Canis lupus familiaris: one gene and its partners. The protein of the gene in region 3 purifies or fractionates together with the protein of the main gene of each other region. This does not show direct contact. Links are inferred from orthologs where the notes say so. Each region holds a gene or a part of one and is shown on either strand. Other genes may lie near its edges. The genes, in order: BRPF3, ING4 and KAT7.

The links.
Region 1: the proteins of KAT7 (region 3) and BRPF3 purify together in Homo sapiens (affinity purification with mass spectrometry; 3 studies listed by BioGRID and IntAct, counting the BioPlex papers as one, with this or other methods). This does not show direct contact. The link is inferred for Canis lupus familiaris from reciprocal best matches to the Homo sapiens genes KAT7 and BRPF3.
Region 2: the proteins of KAT7 (region 3) and ING4 purify together in Homo sapiens (affinity purification with western blotting; 6 studies listed by BioGRID and IntAct, with this or other methods). This does not show direct contact. The link is inferred for Canis lupus familiaris from reciprocal best matches to the Homo sapiens genes KAT7 and ING4.

Annotation. Positions count from the first base shown.
Region 1 is NC_049233.1:5,498,051-5,503,961, reverse strand, and holds part of BRPF3 (bromodomain and PHD finger-containing protein 3), read right to left. Parts: coding exon 5,687-5,911; intron 2,926-5,686; coding exon 2,769-2,925; intron 216-2,768; coding exon 84-215; intron 1-83. UniProt on the Homo sapiens protein: Scaffold subunit of various histone acetyltransferase (HAT) complexes, such as the MOZ/MORF and HBO1 complexes, which have a histone H3 acetyltransferase activity.
Region 2 is NC_049248.1:7,720,125-7,726,735, forward strand, and holds the start of ING4 (inhibitor of growth protein 4), read right to left. Parts: upstream 3,523-6,611; 5' UTR 3,470-3,522; coding exon 3,433-3,469; intron 3,354-3,432; exon of another isoform or gene 3,292-3,353; intron 77-3,291; coding exon 5-76; intron 1-4.
Region 3 is NC_049230.1:25,798,551-25,804,461, reverse strand, and holds part of KAT7 (histone acetyltransferase KAT7), read right to left. Parts: intron 5,885-5,911; coding exon 5,708-5,884; intron 4,111-5,707; coding exon 3,871-4,110; intron 1-3,870. UniProt on the Homo sapiens protein: Catalytic subunit of histone acetyltransferase HBO1 complexes, which specifically mediate acetylation of histone H3 at 'Lys-14' (H3K14ac), thereby regulating various processes, such as gene transcription, protein ubiquitination, immune regulation, stem cell pluripotent and self-renewal maintenance and embryonic development.

The DNA of each region.
Region 1 (5,911 bases), on a different chromosome or scaffold from region 3:
TCTCCTGGCTTTCTCCATGCCACACTGACAGTAGGAGAAAAAGATCTTGAACAAAAGCCCTGAGGCTGGGGGATCTTCCTCACCTGTTCCCTCTTGAGCTTCTCTCTTTTCCGAATCAGCTCAATCAGCAGCCGCGCCCGCTCCAAGTCGTGCCGGAGCTTCTGCCAGTATTTTAGCTCTTCCTTCACTGCACTTGTCTTCTCGTCCTGCTCTCGCTGCAGGAAGGAAGGGAGAGGAAGGAGTTGCTGGAGGCCCGCTTCCTGTCCAGAGCCCTTTCCCTATTCTAGCCTCACAGGGCCTCGGCAGGTAAGGGCCCCACACCCTGGCTGACCCATGTTCCTGAGAGCCCTTCTGCCCTCTCTGCCCCATGCCTTTCTCCTGCACTCCCTTAGCCTTCCAGCAATGCTTCTTAACTGCCCCACAATAAGCACCACTGGAGTGAGAGCTGGGACGACTTCCCCTCCTCCTGAGGATACCAAGGGGGGTGGTGGAGCTGTGCCCCTTAGGGCTGGAAAAGAATTTCAGAAGGAAACCAATACCTCGAGGTAGAAAGAATTTCATCCTAAAGCTGCCACTTGTCTAAAAAACAAAGTAAAATTCTTATTACCAGCTTGTACTAGCTGGCTTGAACATACTTTAAAACACTACAAGTACTCAAAAAAGTGATTCCTGCCCTAGAAAGAGGTTAGAGTTGGGGGAAGGAAGAGGCCCAGGGTTGGACACACAAGGGCACAGTAGCATAAACATAATAAAAACCCAAAGGTAAACTGAATATAAAATGTTGAGAAGATAAATAAAGAGGATCTGAGAGGGTTGATTTTAGGTCAGGGAAGGCTTCCCACAGAAGCAATCTTACTAGGATTTCACATGTAGTGATGGACATAGGTGAACAAAGCAGTAAGAAAGGCCTCTGCTAGAACCAAAGGGACCACAGGGAAGAAGTGTGAAGGCAGAAAAAAATGACTCTCTGCTTGGTAAAAAAAAAAAAAAGAAAGAAGAAAGAAAAAATGGCCCGGCCAGAGCAGAGAGGCTGGAGAACCACAGTAGCCAAGGAAGCTCCAGGATTTAGCTGGTAAGAAGCTTCAACTCCAGGCAAAGGAACCTGCATGTGGCCTGCCAGGAGAGGGGGACTATGTTCTGGAAAAGGAATAGATTCTGGAAAATGGTGTGTAAGACAGTATCAGTTGAACAGCAAAGAAAGAATTAGAGGCGGGAGACTACCCGAAAGCTATTGCTGAAATTATGGGAATTTGGGTGAGCGGGTGAGCTGTAGAATGGAGACAAAAGACCATATGCCAATAAACTGGCCCCAAATAGCATAAGGGATGATTAACTGTGTCTTGTTATGGAGGAAAGAATCAAAAGTAACTCCAAGATGGGGAATGTCTGAGGTCAGGAGGCAGAAGGTTCCATGTCAATAATGGGCAGGGGTGCCTGGGTGGCCACCCAGGCAGTTAAGTGTCCAGCTCTTGATTTTGGCTCAGGCCATGGTCTCGTGGGGTTGAGCTGCATGTCAGGCTCTGTGCTCAGTGGGGAGTCTGCTTAAGGACTCTCTCCCTCTGCCACTCCCTCTGCTCTCGCTCTCTCAAATAAATAAATCTTTAAAAAAAGAATAATAATGGAGAAATAAGTTTACCAAGAGGAAGAAAGATAAAGAATTCAGTTTCCGATATCTGAATTCTAGGAAACAACATCTACATGGACATCTGCAGTTCCTTTGCCCCAGAGGGACTACAGGCAGAGAAAAGGGATGAGGACAAGAAATCTGGAGCTATTACCACGCTTATTTACAACTATGAGAGTGCACGAGCTCTCCCAGCAAACGGGCAGGCATCAGAGCCCTGGGAATGTTACTACTGAGGAGTAACAGGTCAAGTCAGCACAAGGTGCAGTCAGCCAGGTGGAGAAGGAGGGATATGGGGTCATGGAGAAGCTCTAAGAGTGATCCATGGTGAAAATGCAGCCCATCGGCCACTACGGTGAGAATGTGAGGTAAGGCTTGCTGGGCTGGGAGGAGGTGGTTGACGTTCCAAAGGAGGCTACAGGGGAGCAGGCAATCCTCCCCACCTCAAGGAGGGAGGAGACACAGACTTACACTTCAGGACTTTAGTTACAAAAGGCAAAAGTGAAATCAGACAGAACTTAGAGGGCATCAGAGTCACGTAAATGATTGCTTCATCTTTGCGGTGATAGTGTGGAAATATTTAAAGGCAGAAGTAATGGAGCAAGTGAGGAGGGAGAAAAAACTAAAGACGGTTAAAAAAAGGGGAAAAAAAAAGTCTCTCAGGAGACCTCCAACCAAGGTTCCACGGCTAAAAGGTCACCACAACTGGCCAGGCTCTGTGCTACAACTTAGATGGCACATTTGCATGTTTTCTACAAAACATTTTCTGGCAGATGTCAGTACAGTGTCTTAAGAAAAATGCTCCTTGTCCTAATTTATGCAACATGGCCACCTGGCCCTCATTAAACCCATTTTTTCCTTTCTGCCATGTCTACAGGTTTTCCCCACATACTTGGAAGTTGGGCTTGCTCTCTACTCTCTTCTAGAATTTGCTCCAAAATCAACCCTCTCCCATCCAGGAGGAGCTGCTGTCTGGGACCAAGAGCTCTACAGTGCTGGAGGTCGTTCCTGGGAGATGCCATCTGGAAGTGTGACTGCCTATTGACACAAAGGCTCTACAGAGGGCTCAGGGAGTGGTGACCCAACCATCCCTCCTCCTCCTTCACTCTCCACCTCCTCCACCACCTTCAATCACTTCACCTACCTGCTCAGCATTTCTTTGGGACTGCAGGTGGGAATGCAGGCGTCGGATGAGAGGGACGCCGTTCCGTGCCTGCCGCTTCAATAGCCAATAGTTGTGAAGCCGCTGTATGAACTGGTTTTTCCTCTGAAAGGAGAGACCACTACAGATCTTGTTCAACCTTGAGTAGAGGCACAGGGAAGTGAAAGACAAGGTCAGTGGGCAGCCCTGATCACAGCCTCCTCTTCAGACCCTAGCTCATTTCTGAACCTTACATATGAAAGAAGATGGAATCAAGTGGCCAATTGCCTCACCTCAGAGAAAGGCTTTAAAAAAAGAAAGCAAAGTTAAGCAGCTCGGATTCAGCATGTGATAGATGTATCACTTGATTTTCCACCCCCCTATCTTACAGTCCTGATTCTCCAGAAGAACTCTCTCCCAGGAACCCTGTTTCCTGTGGTCCTAGACTCCTGGGAAATAGGCCTGTGCCCTGAACTCTTGATATAGGCAGGAAAAGAGAGCAGGAACTTGAGTAAGCTATGGGCAATGTGGTCACTACTTCCTGCGCCCTGTGGCTGAGGGTCCCCCCAGACCAGAGAATAGTCCACAAGCAAGCTGGAAGGAAAACTAGAAGTACGCCAGGCTATGGCTCTCTGAGCTCAAATGCAACACTTCAGAGCCGTCTGACCTCTGGTTTTTCATTAACGATCTCAGCAGCCTAAAAGTGTCTAATTTTGAAACAAACAAGAAAAGAAAAAACTGGATAAGAGGACGGAGAATCTGAAAACTTAGCTGGCTCAATTAACCCAATAGAGAAGTCTTAAGGTCAGGACTTAATAATATGTGGCAGGTGGGAGAGGTAGAGGCAAAAGGGGAGGGAATTAATAAGAGCCTATAATCTTTATCCTAATAGTCCTGTTGCAAGGTGGGTAACATCAGTCTCATGGTAACAAAAGATGGAAAGGCAGCTTAGGAACAGAGGCTGGATGAACTGTCAAAGTCACTAATGTGGCCAGAAGGATGGTGGAGCTGAATGGGATTTGAATCCGTGATCTCTCTGCTACAGCACCCTGTGTCCCCAAATTGGTTATTCACAGAGTAAGAGTAATAAGCAAGGCCTCAATACTCCTGTTGTGTGCCCCCCACTTTTTCTCTTCATCTCTATCCACTGAAAGGAAGTTAAGTGCCCTATGCATTTCCACAGACATTCTTGCCCCAAAGCCAAGCTTACAAAATCAAGATCTAAGCCTTTCCCCAAAGAAGAAATCCCCACCAATGCCCATGCCAAGCATACCTGCCCAGATGCAGGCAGCCCCCTCCCTCTATAACCTCTTGGCCATGGAGTGTCCCCCTAGCATTTGTGTAGGTAGAGAGAGGAAGAAGAAGAATAAAACAGCAGCAGCAGCCACCATTTATTGAGCGCTTACTATTTACCAGGCACTGTACCAAGTGCTTTATTTATATCATCTCCTTCATTTCTCACAACAACCCTATGAGGTTCATTTAGAAAGAAATAAGGCTCAAAGAAGTAACTTGCCAAAAGTCACACAGGTAGTTAGCAACAGGAGCAGGATTCAAAAGCAGGTTGGTCTGTTTTCTAAGCCAGCATGCTATGCTGACCCCTGTAAGACACATCTATCAGAGCAGATGTGACAACCAAAGAGACTAGTCCCAGGGCATAGCCACCCTACAAATGTTTCTAAGCATGGACCAACTCAACATCAGAGAAGAGCCTACAACAGCTCTGTGACTACAAGTCATTTCCAGTTGACTGAATTCTAATTCCAGCCATAGTTCGCCATAGGAGCCTCTCCCTCCTGCCCTTCTCTGCTCTTTTTCTCCTTCCCAGACTGACAAGTCTGGTTGCCTGTTCCCCTTACAACTCATTCCCTGCTACCCTCCAGCACTCACTTCTCCCTATCCTTTTCAACAAGAGAAGGCAAACAGCAGGAACAGAGACTGATGGCATCATGAGCCCCAGCTTGTGGTCAGGTTCTATAGCTTCCCACCTGGTTCCAGCCCTTTGAACAGGACTTGGCATATAGTAAGTACTCAATAAACACCTCAGTGAATGAACAAAGGCATGAACAACTTTACCTCCTGTGGCTGCAGATTCTTCATCTGGGGGTGTGGGAGAAGGTGCAAGGACTACATTAGATGAATAATTTCCAATATTCCTTTCTGCTCCAACACTGTATACTTTCTAAAGAATATCACCCTTGAGATGAGCTTCTACTGGAAAATCTTTCCAGTCTCTTGCTTTTCTGCCCTCCAACAGCTACTTCTCTGATGGTTAAAAATAAGTACAATGGTCTCTCTATAAGACTCACTGGGGACCAAGGTGGCTTAGCTATACAACTGAACCAAGTGATCCTTTCCCCTAAATCTAGAAGCTTCTCAAGAAGAGAAAGATCATGTCTTCCCCACACCACCACTCCCTCACACAAAGTCCCCATCATTCCCAGACAGAGCTTTCTGGACAGCAGTCGTGTGGTTCTCACTTCTATCACCACAGGAGGTTTTGGTAACATATGTGGGGAGTGTTTGAGACGGTCACAAAGACCAAGCAATGAGGGAGGGGATGCAAATGGCACTAACGGACAAAGATCAGGGATGCTAAACATTGAGGAATGTATGAGGCAGTCCTAATAGTGAAGAATTATCCTGTCTCAAATGTCACTTGTGCACCTGTTGAAAATATTGCCTTAGACACCCTTCACCTGGGTTTCTAAGCCACTTAACTGTCTCACCTTAAAGCACAGGAAATACATTGCTCTCAAGGCAAAATCAAAACCACAAACCAGATTGGGGCCCAAAGGAGAAGGCACAGAAGAGAACAAACATTCACCAACCATGCTTGGGGAAAGAGTTCCTGGCTCAGGGCCAACACCAACCCAAGAAGAGACTATCAGTCCACGGGGAGCCCTCCTGGGCAGGCTTACCTATAAGAAGGTATCTGTGGGACAGTGACCATGGGGACAGTGGAGGGTGTATCTCGGCTCACTTCCTCTGGCTCCTTCTTGATCTTCTGCTTCAAAGCCATCTTGTTCTTCTTGGGCAGTCCCTTGAGGGGGCCACCTACCCCACCTTGGCCTTCATCTTCCTCTTCCTCTTCCACCTCTTCCTTCTCTTCCTCCTCTCCACACCCCTCCTTCAGCCCTTCCTCA
Region 2 (6,611 bases), on a different chromosome or scaffold from region 3:
ATACCCTCTGTTCTTTGGTCCAGGTCCCTCATGAGCTGAAAGTTTCTCTGCAGTTCGAAGGGAAGGTTTTCGATACCTAGGGAGAAGAAAAACTGAGAATCATGGCACTTCATAGGCCTGATAGCTGATTTTATTTTATTTTTCTTTTTTTTTTTTTAAACATATTTTTTTTAATTTTTATTTATTTATGATAGTCACAGAGAGAGAGAGAGAGAGAGAGAGAGAGAGGCAGAGACACAGGCAGAGGGAGAAGCAGCCTCCATGCACCGGGAGCCCGACGCGGGATTCGATCCCGGGTCTCCAGGATCGCGCCCTGGACCAAAGGCAGGCGCCAAACCGCTGCGCCACCCAGGGATCCCCTATTTTTAAAAGATTTTATTTATTTATTCATGAGAGACACACAGAGAGAGAGGCAGAGACACAGGCAGAGGGAGAAGCAGGCTCCATGCAGGGAGCCTGACGTGGGGCTTGATCTGGGGACTCCAAGATCACACCCTGGGCCGAAGGCAGGCGCCAAACTGCTGAGCCACCCAGGGATCCTGGGATAGCTGCTTTTAAAGTACAGGTCCAGTGGGACTCAGTTTCCCTTCCTTGGAACAGTTGGATTTATCTGGAACAGCACCCATCATTGCTTTGTCAGTGGAGGCTGTGTTTGCATCTCTGCACAATTAACTCTGCCACCTCTTTACAGCTTTCCCATCACTTGCCCCTTCAGTGACCTTACTTTACCAATCAGTCCCTCCTTTTCTTGTACTCCTCCAAGCTCCTTGCCCTCAATCTTGTATTCCTCCAAGCTCCTTCCCCGCAATCCAGATACCTACCTGGTATCTGATGAGTGGAACCTTCCACTCATCACACACGCATACTTCTAATCTCTTTTCTATATAGTAGTCAGAATGTTCTCTTAAAAAAATGCAAATCTCACCAAGTCCCCCTCTTTGCTTTTATAACTAATAACTTCTATCACACAATTCCTGTTCCTATTTTGTACTTTCTGCCCCATGCTCACCTTACTCCAGCCTTGATTCAGGTCAATCCCCCTGTGTGCCGTCTGCTCTAATCATGCTGGCCTTCTCTGAGTGCCCTCAACCTGCCAGGGCTCATCCTGCTCCCCAGCTTTCCAAGCACTGCCTTCTCTGTCCAGAATGCACTGCTTGGTGTTCTTCATCCCACCTCCACCATACCTCTTTTCCTACTGAATTCCTGTTCATTCTTCAAAGTTCAGCTCAACTCTGACTTCTCCAGACTCCAAGTGCCCTGGATTATGCTGTCAAGTTATTCTAGCTCTACCCTTTTGGGCACTTATCCAGCTGTGGTTAAGGAATTAGTTGTGTAACCGGTTATTTGGTATCTATCTCCCTAACCCTCCAGAAGGACTGCTGGTTATTTGGTATCTATCTCCCTGACCCTCCAAAAGGACTGGACACATCTAGCTTCTCTCTCATTTTACTATGACTCGAGTACAGAGGGTCTTCAATAAATACCTGAATAAAGACATATATACTTAAGTCTCTCCATAAAAGAAAAAATCTCTTCCCATGACAGCATTTCAAACTTCTAAAATAGCTCCAGGGATCCCTGGGTGGCGCAGCGGTTTGGCGCCTGCCTTTGGCCCAGGGCGCGATCCTGGAGACCCGGGATCGAATCCCACGTCAGGCTCCCGGTGCATGGAGCCTGCTTCTCCCTCTGCTTATGTCTCTGCCTCTCCCTCTCTCTCTCTCTCTCTCTCTCTATCATAAATAAATAAAAAAAAAATTTTTAAAAAAAAAGATAAAAAAAAAATAAAATAGCTCCAAAACAAATGATCTTTTATATGTCCTATCTTAAAAAATACATCTGCAGCAGTTGGCACCATCTTCTGTCCTTCAGTAACTTTCTTCCTCTTAGGATTCCAAATCTCACCCTATACTTTCTGATAATTCCAACAGTGACGTTTTGCTAGCCTGTCCCTTAAATGCTAATGTTTTCTTGGGCCTATACTTTAACCCTCTCATTTCCCACTTTGCTTGTATTCCCTGAATGATCTCGATCTCATTCACTCTCATACAATCGCCATGCCTGTGCTTAAGTTTAAATTGAGTTAGGTGTATTGCTGTTACTCCTGAATTCCCTATCTTGCTGAAGGTATCCTATCTACCTCACCTCCCAAGCAGGAAATCAAGGAGGCACTTTGTATTCTTCCTTCTCTCTCAACTACCCAGCCATTTCATCTGTCCCTTTAGCTCCTAAAGACTTCGGTCACTCTCTGAGACCTGAACTTACCATACATCAGTTATTTTCCTTTATTGAAACCTGTTTTTAAAATCTGTTGGTTCCTGACTATCTACAGTGTGCAAGCCTCTTAGCTTGGCTTAAAAGACCTTGCACAACCTAGCTCCCACCTCCTTCTCCAGGCTCACTTGCCAATCGTCCACCTTAAGAGTCCTATACAGCAAGCACTGACTTCACTATTCCTTGACCTGCCACAAACCCACCACAATACCTTTGCTGATGCTTTCCCCAACCAGCAGTTTCCTTTCTTTCTTCACACTGGCAAACACTCGATCTTCAAAACTCTATTCAAACATCACATCCTCTGGTAAAGTTTTACCTACGTCCCCAAGTAATTTGCCCCTCTTTCTCCAGTGCTACCAACTGTCCTTGTAATGTACTTCTATTATTTCACTTGTCAGTTTTATAATTATTGATTAGCAGAATCTGTTTCCTCCTAAACTATAAGCACTGGAGGGCAGGGTCTGTGTCATCATTTTGGTATCTCCGCAGTACTTGCCATTATGTCTGACCCAGAGCAAGGCCTCAATAAATGAATGAATGAATGACTCTCAATACTAAGACAAATGTAAGCGCATAAGGGTGACAGGCTTTGTGAAGGGGTGGGTTACACAAATGGCATAAGCGTAGCACCAGATTTCCATTTGGTAGGAATTGGAAGAAGAGAAGCGTTCCAGTTTATCATCTGACAGTAGTCACTAACCACCCCCGATCCCCACTGAAAAACCGTTTCTGAGAAAGAACAGAGCAGAGAAGCTGCGAGCAAGTCTTTGGCACTGCTCCAAATGGCAGTGGGTGATACACTAAAACGACCGATCCTGAAGGATTGGGGGGGGGGGGTTGGGGGGATGGATATCCTGAGGCTGGAGACCCTGGAGATGGGGTCGGCAAATACCTTCCCGGCTCTGCCCATTAGCCCCTCAAGAGACACCCCCCTCAGCCCTACCGCGCAGCCCCTCCCTCGTCTACACCCAAAAGCCAGGCCTCGACCCTGCTGCCCCGCCCCCTCTTTCTTCACACCCTTCAATATTTTCTTTCACGGAACCCCTTCACAATTGGGACTTTCTGACCACCGGGACTTCGGGGCCGTACAGCAGCTCAGCCCCGACCCCCCCCCCACCACTCTATGACCCCTGACCCCCTCCTCCAGCCTGCTCTTACTGTCCAGATAATGTTCCAAATACATCCCCGCAGCCATCTTGAAGCAAAACAAAGCAACTTCCGATCCGCCCCGGAAGTGACTGAAACGCAACAGGCGCTGAAGCTATTATCCGTGGGTTGGAGCCTTTCCGCCCTTAAAAGGAGAGCTTCCGCCCTCAGTCAATTATCCGCGGGGACACATCCGCCCGACGTTAAAACTTTCCCTTTTGCGTAGGTAGCCGGGGCTGCGGGTGCCGAGGCGCCCTGAGGTGGCTCTAGCCCGCTTCCGCCCTTACTGAGGCCCCGGTACGCGACCGAGGCAGGCATGACGTCACTGCGGGTCGCCATTTTGCATTCCCTATCAAACTTTTTTTTTTTTCCCTCCAAAACGGAGATGTGGGGTTATGATGGGAAACCAACCCTCATCCCACCCACCCCCACCGCCCCCACCCCCGTCTCTTTAGGATTGTGGTCCAGAAATACCGCTTTTTAGCGAATGGGGACTCTTCTCCTTTTTACAGGATATTAATCTAATGACCACAGCAGGTCCTGGCTGAGCCAAGACTTCCTTCAAGGTAGCTAGTATCTTAACGAAGTTGGAGAGGCCTAGCTGGTGCTGCGAGATTGAAACCATTCGCATTTCTGTTCACTCGCCTGAGCGTCAGCTCACCGGGATAATTTTTTTAACATGGAAAAAAAATAATTGTTTATAAAATCTACATACTAAGCCTTACACAATAAAGCTGTAATTCTCCAAGACTCTTGCCAGGGTTCCTGGCCTTTTATCTTTGATTACATTCTCGTATAAAGTGACATAGTACTTCCAGCCTTGCCCTCTTCTTTTCTTATACTTCCACCACCACCACCACCCCCCACCCCCCACCCCCCCCGCCACCCTTCCGCTGTTTTTGTTTTCCAGTTTATATCTGATGTTAACTAGCACCATGGCTGTCACAACCGGGCCAGCTCCCATCCTGGTACTAGGATGGGTACCAGGATGGGCTCCACTAGGGTACAGTGAGGTCTCTATATGGGGACGGAAACCAGTCCAGAGCCTGACAGGCTGCCACCACACTGGAGAAGCAGCTCAAAGCCCATAGCCTAATAGTGGTATTAGTAAGAAAGCTTTTGGAGGCTGTTGTCCTTCCTAACTCACATATTCGTGACTGTTGTCAATGCCACAAGGCAACGTTTTAATGAAAGATTTTTCAGCCACCTGATTTGGGCCAAAAGTGTGAAGAAGGATAAGATGAAATCTCAGGTTTAGTGGTAGGATGCAGTAGTTGGATCTAGAAGACTTCACTCCAAGTGTCTTGACCCCGGATATGGTAAACTTCTGTGCTTATGTCCTGCTCTGTAAAATGGAGACTAGTAGTACCTACCTCATAGAGTTCTTGCAATGATTGTGAGTGAATCCTTTAGTAGATTCTGGTTCTATTACCTGTGGTGAAGACAGGGCTGTCAGGGCATTTTCAGTGATTGATGAAGAGCAGGGGGAAAAAAGTATTCAGAAGCTAGCAAGACATTGACAGATTTCGTCTCAGGTAATACATTCATTAGACTCACACTGCAGATTGAGAGGTATTGGATGCCTCAATACCCAAGAGACCAGCTGAGCCCAAAACTTAAGTAGGCATGATTTCATGGACTATCCACATTCTTCTTGGTAATGGGCATGGTTGCCCAGCAGTATACAGAAGACAGCCATGTGAGTCAATGTTAGAGCTTTGTCAACCTTTTCAGTGCTTAATGGCTTTTAATATCCCAAAATGAACCTTGGAGGCTATCTAGTCTTGGACGCCTCTCAGTGACCACTGGTTGGCAGTAGAGCCAGGGCTGAAAAGTTGAGGTTTCCTGACTACTTCTACTTCTCAGCACGACTGTCCTGCATTGTTACTCAGTTCTGGTTATGGCTTCCATCATTGCAAACCTATGGATATGGATAACAAATGTATGCACACTGTGCCAGCTGGAATTAGCACTGAGCCTGGTGATGCTCAGGCAGGAGTATAGGCCCTTTCAAGAGAGCACGCTTCCATTTCTTTAATGGGGAGCTTAGTGGTTTATTAACACGATTGAAATCTTGCTCTCATAATATGTAGGCATTGCAGGCCACAAACAAGATTTTAGAAACCCTCATAAACTGGGAATTCCTGGGTGGCTCAGCGGTTTAGCGCCTGCATTCAGCCCAGGGCATGATCATGGAGTCCCACATCAGGCTCCCTGCATGGAGCCTGCTTCCCCCTCTGCCTGTGTCTCTGCCTCTCATGAATATATAAAATCTTTAAAAAGAAAGAAAGAAATCCTCATAAACCAAGATCTCACTTGGAAGTACCAAAGCTTTCCCTTCCACATTTGGGGATACACACATAGAGCCTCATCAAACAGCATTCATTCTTCACATACACACATTCTAGTGTAAATCCTTGAACATCTCCCCAGGTATCTTCTTCCCATGCTCGCTCACATCAGCAGCTCCACTGCCTCTGATCCTTTTACACGAATTTATTTCTATACAAGGTTCTAAAAACACCCCTTGGTTTGTACATAAGTTTTTTTTTCTTCATTTTAAATTGCTTTATAACAACTGGTTTCCTGATTTTTTTTTTCATTTTCTCTTTTCTCTGAAATCTGCCATGATTTAAAAATAAGGACAAAAGGAAATAAAAATGCTGTTGGCCAGAAGACAGGGTGGAGAAAAACAAAAAGGACAAAAAAAAATAAAACATCAAATATGAAAATTCTGAGATAATGCATTTATAAACACAGAAATGGTTACAACAAAGATGGCCGTGATGAGTGGGTATATATATATATATTTATATATATATTTATATATAAATCCGTGTCCGGCAACTGACCGTGGCACCTAGGGAGCTAAGTCCAGTCCTTGTGTTTGCCCTGAACTCTCCCTTCTCTGCAACACCCCTTGTTTTGGGCTTTCATAAAGAACACAAAGCTCCCATAGCTCCTCTGGCTTTGGGATTGGGAGACTGAGTATAGGGTTTTGGCTGGCAGAGAAGGGGAGAGGCTCCAAGGAAAACGATAACCCACATTTCTAAGCCACCCTTGACCATTTTGGGGATCTCCGGCCCCTTGGGGACCACATCTCAGCCCTTGCCCCTTTACAAATAAAGGGGGTCTGACCCCCACCCCGATCTCCCTCTTCCAGCAGTAGGTAGGAAGTGAAGTGAGACCAC
Region 3 (5,911 bases):
TAGGCTTCTTCTGTAATCAGATTTTTAAACAGGCAGTTAGTCTTTATAATAGCCAAGCTACAAAAGTAACTCAAGTGTCCATCCATAGATAAATGGATAAAGAAGACGTGTGTTCTACATATATATGTATATATGTATACACGGACACACACACACACACACACACACACACACACACACAGGAACATTACTTAGCCATAAAAAAGAATGAGATCTTGCCATTTATGATATGGACGGACCTAGAGGGTATTATGCTAAGTGAAATATGATAGAGAAAGACAAATACCATAGGAGTTCATCCATATGAGGAATACAAGAAACAAAACAAAGGAACAAACCAGACTCTTAAATACAGAGAACTGGTGGCTGCCAAAGGGGTTAGGGGGTGGGGGGGGAGAAAGAGGTGAAATAGATTTAAAGGGGCTCAAGAGTACACTTATCTTGACGAGCTCTGGGTAATATATAGAATTGCTGAATCATTATATTGTACACCTAAAACTAAACACTGAAATAAATAGGAAGTTACCACAAGGCACTCTTATTGAGAGGACATTAATAGCAATAATATAGAAAGCTCATTTTATCTAAGGGATATACCTCTTCACTTTTCTATTTTTCATGTGGTTTTGGGAAACACAGAGGGAACTGAACATTATTTCCTTTTTATAAGTTTCTTTAACCAAAGGGTTTACAAAACTTCTGGTTAATGAAGACAGCGGGATTTAAAAAATCATATGGGATTTAAAAAGTCATACATGATTTAGAGTAAGCTTTAAAGAATGAAAATAATTCACATATTGGGGGAGAAAGGAATCAATACATGATATGTAGATTGCCATTTCTCCAGGACTATATTATTAAAAATGTGATTTTTGGAGATCCATTCAATTTATCTTGCATAGAAAAAACTACCCTCAGTAATCCAACATCATTATAAAATGTAAAGTGTCAATGTTATAGAAACCCTCCTTTTTCTATAGATATTTCTTAGACATACTTCTATAGATATTTCTAAAATATTATGTATCTATAACTTCTGGGTAAATTATTCAAGTCATGTCTTATTTTAGAATATATGAACTAAAACCAATTTAATGTGTCTATATTAAAAGTGTTAAAAAGGAACAGTTAATTTATTGATCTAGCAATTCTGCTATAAATTTATTCCTACAGGTTTTCTAGCAAGACACTAAAATACATACATATAATGCTTCCATTACAGTATTATTCAAAATAGATAAAATGAGAAATAATCTAAATGTCAATCCATACTGGACAATTTTAAAAATTTATAAACTATGGGATGCTTGGGTGGCTCAGTGGTTTAGTGCCTGCTTCTGGCCCAGGGCGTGATCCTGGAGACCCGGGATCTAGTCCCACATCGGGTTTTCTGCATGGAGCCTGCTTCTCCCTCTGCCTGGGTCTCTACCTCTCTCTCTCTCTCATTCTCTCTCTCTCTCTCTCATGAATAAATAAAATCTTTATTAAAAAATAAAAATATAAAATTTATAAACTATCAATGTAATGAATTCTCTGTATTCTTTAAACAGATGGAACCCTAAGTATCTTTTTTTTTTTTTTTTAAAGATTTTATTTATTCATGAGAGACAGAGAGAGAGAGAGAGAGAGAGAGAGGTGGAGACACAGGAAGAGGGAGAAGCAGGCTCCACGCAAGGAGCCTGATGTCCGACTCGATCCCGGGACTCTGGATTATGCCCTGAGCCGAACGCAGATGCTCAACCACTGAGCCACGCAGGCATCCCAGTAAAGTAAAATATCTAAGATGCGAAACCAACCATTATATTTTCCCTTTTGCGATAACACAAAAGAAATATATATATATATATATATATATATATATATATATATATATATGTGTGTGTGTGTATAAATGTGTTACACACACATGCACACTTGCTAGAACCATTCATAAAAAACCCCCAAGAATAATTTTATATCTGGCGATATGAATAAAGGAAAACTTTTACTTATGCATTTCAAGGCTCCCTGTAGGGTTTTCAGTTTTCACAGGCACAGAATACTTTTACACCAAAATTATTTTTAAAAATTAATGACATTAAAAAAAAAATTAATGACATTATTTTGCTGAACATAAAGAGTGGAACAGGATCAAAGACAATTTCAGCAATGGATTTTTTTTTTTAATTCAGTAATCTCTATGCCCAACAACATGGGGCTTGAATTCATGATCCTAAAATTGAGTTGCATGCTCCAAGCCAGCCAGGCACCCCTTATCAAAAAATAATTTTGGAAGTTCAGGTTCATATGTTTCAAACTTTGCCAGTATATTAATACGAGAAGTCAAAGTAAACTTTCCTCTGATGCAACAGATTTATATTTATCCTTTCATCTACTCCAAGGAGGTTAAGGACTGAGCATAAATAACATACCGTCAGGTCCAACGCAGACCTCATCTCCTCCTATCCATTCTGGTTGCTCTGTCCTAGGCATATTGGCCCGTAAGTGTGCTTCAAACTGCTTAAGCATTCTTGTGTCCCATACCCTTACCACCTGTTTGTGTGTGTATGGTTTGTATATATGCACAATACCTTACCCTCTCAGCACTCCCTCATTTTCCTTCAAGGAAGTATCTCTAAGCTGACGTATTATGTATCCACCTGTCTTGCCTTTCCCAATTAGACTATAAGCTCCATGACAGTAGGAACTTTGTTTGACATGTTCACAGCTACACCCCCAGAAACTCAAACGGTGTCTGGTATGTGGCAAACAGAGTACATAAAAGTAACAATTTAGGGAAGCATGGATAGTGACTAGCAGAGCTTGAGTCTCTTCCCTTGCCATATGAAAAGTAGATCCCCTTACCATCTTAAAGTACATTAGCTAGCTCTTAAATACTAATGTTTATATGATGATGTCTATTCTTAGTTTTTCATCATTTACCCAAGGATACTGATTTAGGCCTGAAACAATTCTTTTCTTTGAGTGATGACTGGTGTGATGGTTTAGGGGAACTTATTATATACTCTATGCATTCTGAGGAGTTGAAATTATCTGAGAGAGTGGTGCGAAGACCAGGAAAAGATCCAGATAAATTAAATGCTAGGGAAAACATACTGTGGGCCTGCAAAGCAACAGCTTACTCTGCTCTTTTTTCTGAACCTGATGGTCAGGTTGAAAAGTTCACAGATTTGAGAAGCAGACTCAGTGGAGAAAAGCCTATAATGTCAATCAGTGCCTTCCAACTCTAGACAAAAACTTAAGCCCAACACTTGGAATGAAGCTCACTTAAGGAGCGTTAATAAGGTTTAAACCATCATAAGAATCTGTCAGTAAAAGGTAAAGGTCATAAAAAAAAAACACTGAGATACTCATTTATCTGAGAAGAGATACTTGTCTGGTTTATATTTATCAAATATAGAAGACCTACAACCACCAAAGTCACAAAAGACCAGGGTCTCATCTGTGCCCTTTTAGTTTCATGGCCGTGCAAGAAGAAATCTGTTTTTCTCATTTCCTTATCAGCTCTAACCATACAACCAATATTCTGCATTAAGCTCAAACTATGTACCACACAACAAGCCATTTTGAAGATAACTGGTCTTCGGTTTTATTTTTGCAGGAAAGAGGAGGAAATTTTCACAGGGAGCTTTCAATAAACTGGTGGGTGCATCCCACTTAATGTCCTTGCAACCAGATCTATTCTTATTGACAACAGACCAAGAAGCAAAAATACTTCTTGTTTGAGTGGGCAACCCAGTTGATATTCTGAGCACCACTGAAGAACCTAAAGAGCTAGATCACAAGAGAAGATGAAACATTTCTTCATGATCCTAATTTCAGAGGGCAAAAACCATAGAACACAGGTGTCAGAAAGCTGGTCACACTCACCTAGGGAGTTACAGCCTGGAGTAGGACACTTCATATTGAAATTGTAGCTTTCATGGAAGCGACGGCGCTTGGGACGATGAGAGAGATCGCTGCCTGAGTCCTTCAGGGACATGTCCTTGGCAATGCTCTCATCATGAGACACGTTGGGGCTGGAGATGTCTATGTCAGACTCAGAAGAAGGGGCATTTCCAGTTGGAGTTCGAGGTGGAGACTCATCATGATCAGCTGTATTTTTAGTTTCTAAAGCAAAGCAATTGGGAGAGCTCATAAATGGGGTTCATTTAGAGGTTTACTATTCAGAAGAGTTTATGGCTATCATTTAACCAGTGACTTTTAACCACTTATCTGCTATAAAGCTACTAGGAAAATGAAATTAACATCATTCTTTTGTGCTACTTTACATCCTAAGTAAAATCCAGTTTTTGGGGTTTACCTAATATATTTCACTTATCTGTGCTTCTCATAAGCCCCCCATCACAGGTAATCAAAACTGGATGGAAGTAAATTTTTCTTTAAAATGACTATCCAACTCTCCTTCCAGGAGACACACAGGATGGAAGAGAAATGAAAACAGGTGTCCTCCTTGATGACTGACTTGGTGTGAGTGTGAACGAACCTGACTCTTGAGCTAGCGTGTCAGTAATCTAACAATTCAGATTGTAAATCATGGGTTGTAAACCAAATGCCTACACTTGCTGGGCAAGGCCAAATAGAGAACCAACTGTCCACCTTAAGGAGACAACTACTTTTCCACTCCAGTAATCAATGCTGTGAGTGAATGGCCACCACACGTTCCCAGAGTTTCCAGTTTTTAAAAGAAACTAGTGGGATCCCTGGGTGGCGCAGCGGTTTGGCGCCTGCCTTTGGCCCAGGGCGCGGTCCTGGAGACCCGGGATCGAATCCCACGTCGGGCTCCCGGTGCATGGAGCCTGCTTCTCCCTCTGCCTGTGTCTCTGCCTCTCTCTCTCTCACTGTGTGCCTATCATAAATAAATAAAAGTTTAAAAAAATTTAAAAAAAAAAAAAAAAAAAAAAAAAAAAAAAAAAAAAAAAAAAAAAAAAAAAAAAAAAAAAAAAAAAAAAAAGAAACTAGTAACCCAGGTTTTTATGTTTTGATGTGAAATTCCCTATTTTCAAATGTTGGCAACAAACTTCTAAAAATGTAAACACTGAAGCACCTAAGAGGCACAGTGGCTTAAGCGTCCAACTCTTGGTTTTGGCTCAAGTCATGATCTTGGGAGTCCTGAGAACAAGCCCCACCTTGGGCTCCGCTCAACATGAATCTGTTGGTACCTCTCCCTCTCCTTCTGCCCCCCACCATCTCTGCCTCTAAAATAAATAAATAAATTAAAAAAAAAAAAAAAAAAGGTAAACGTTGTGCAAGCAAACTAACAGAGCATATTGGCAGGCTATATGCTCCTCAGTCTGTAATTGCTGCTCTAAGGCCTAATTTGGGCTGGTCAATCACAATCTCAACAGCTCACCATCCCTCATTACCAAAGATCACTCCTCCTCAAAAAACAGAGATAAGTGGACTGACAAGCATGACTTTAAGAAAATGTGGTTCAAACTTTCTTCATCTATAGGTAAAAGGGCTCCAGTTCCTTTTGCCTATTATGGGTCCAATCTAATAATTTAATTACTCTAGTCTTCAAGAGTACTCTAATACAAAACTATCCTCAGTGAGATATTCAAGAAAGCAATCAGGTAAACAGCATTTACCTAGCTGAATTTGGTCAGTATAAAGCATCTATCTGCAGAGTGGCCCCAAGCCTTCCTTAAGAGAAAATTGACCAGATCTTCTCTGTAATTGATCAAATCATCCCATACTCACTCACCTCTATCTGAAAAGTCAACCACTTGCTCTGTTTCTGAGCCAGACGAACGAGTCTGACGAAGGGGGTATTTTTTCGGAGTCACTGGGGTAGGCTGTTGCTGACTACGGGTCACTCTTCTGGTAGAATAAGCAGGCTCCTCAGTGCCAAAAGATTGCAAATTTCGAACAGGACTGGAATCTGATCCCCAATTTTAAGAGATAATAA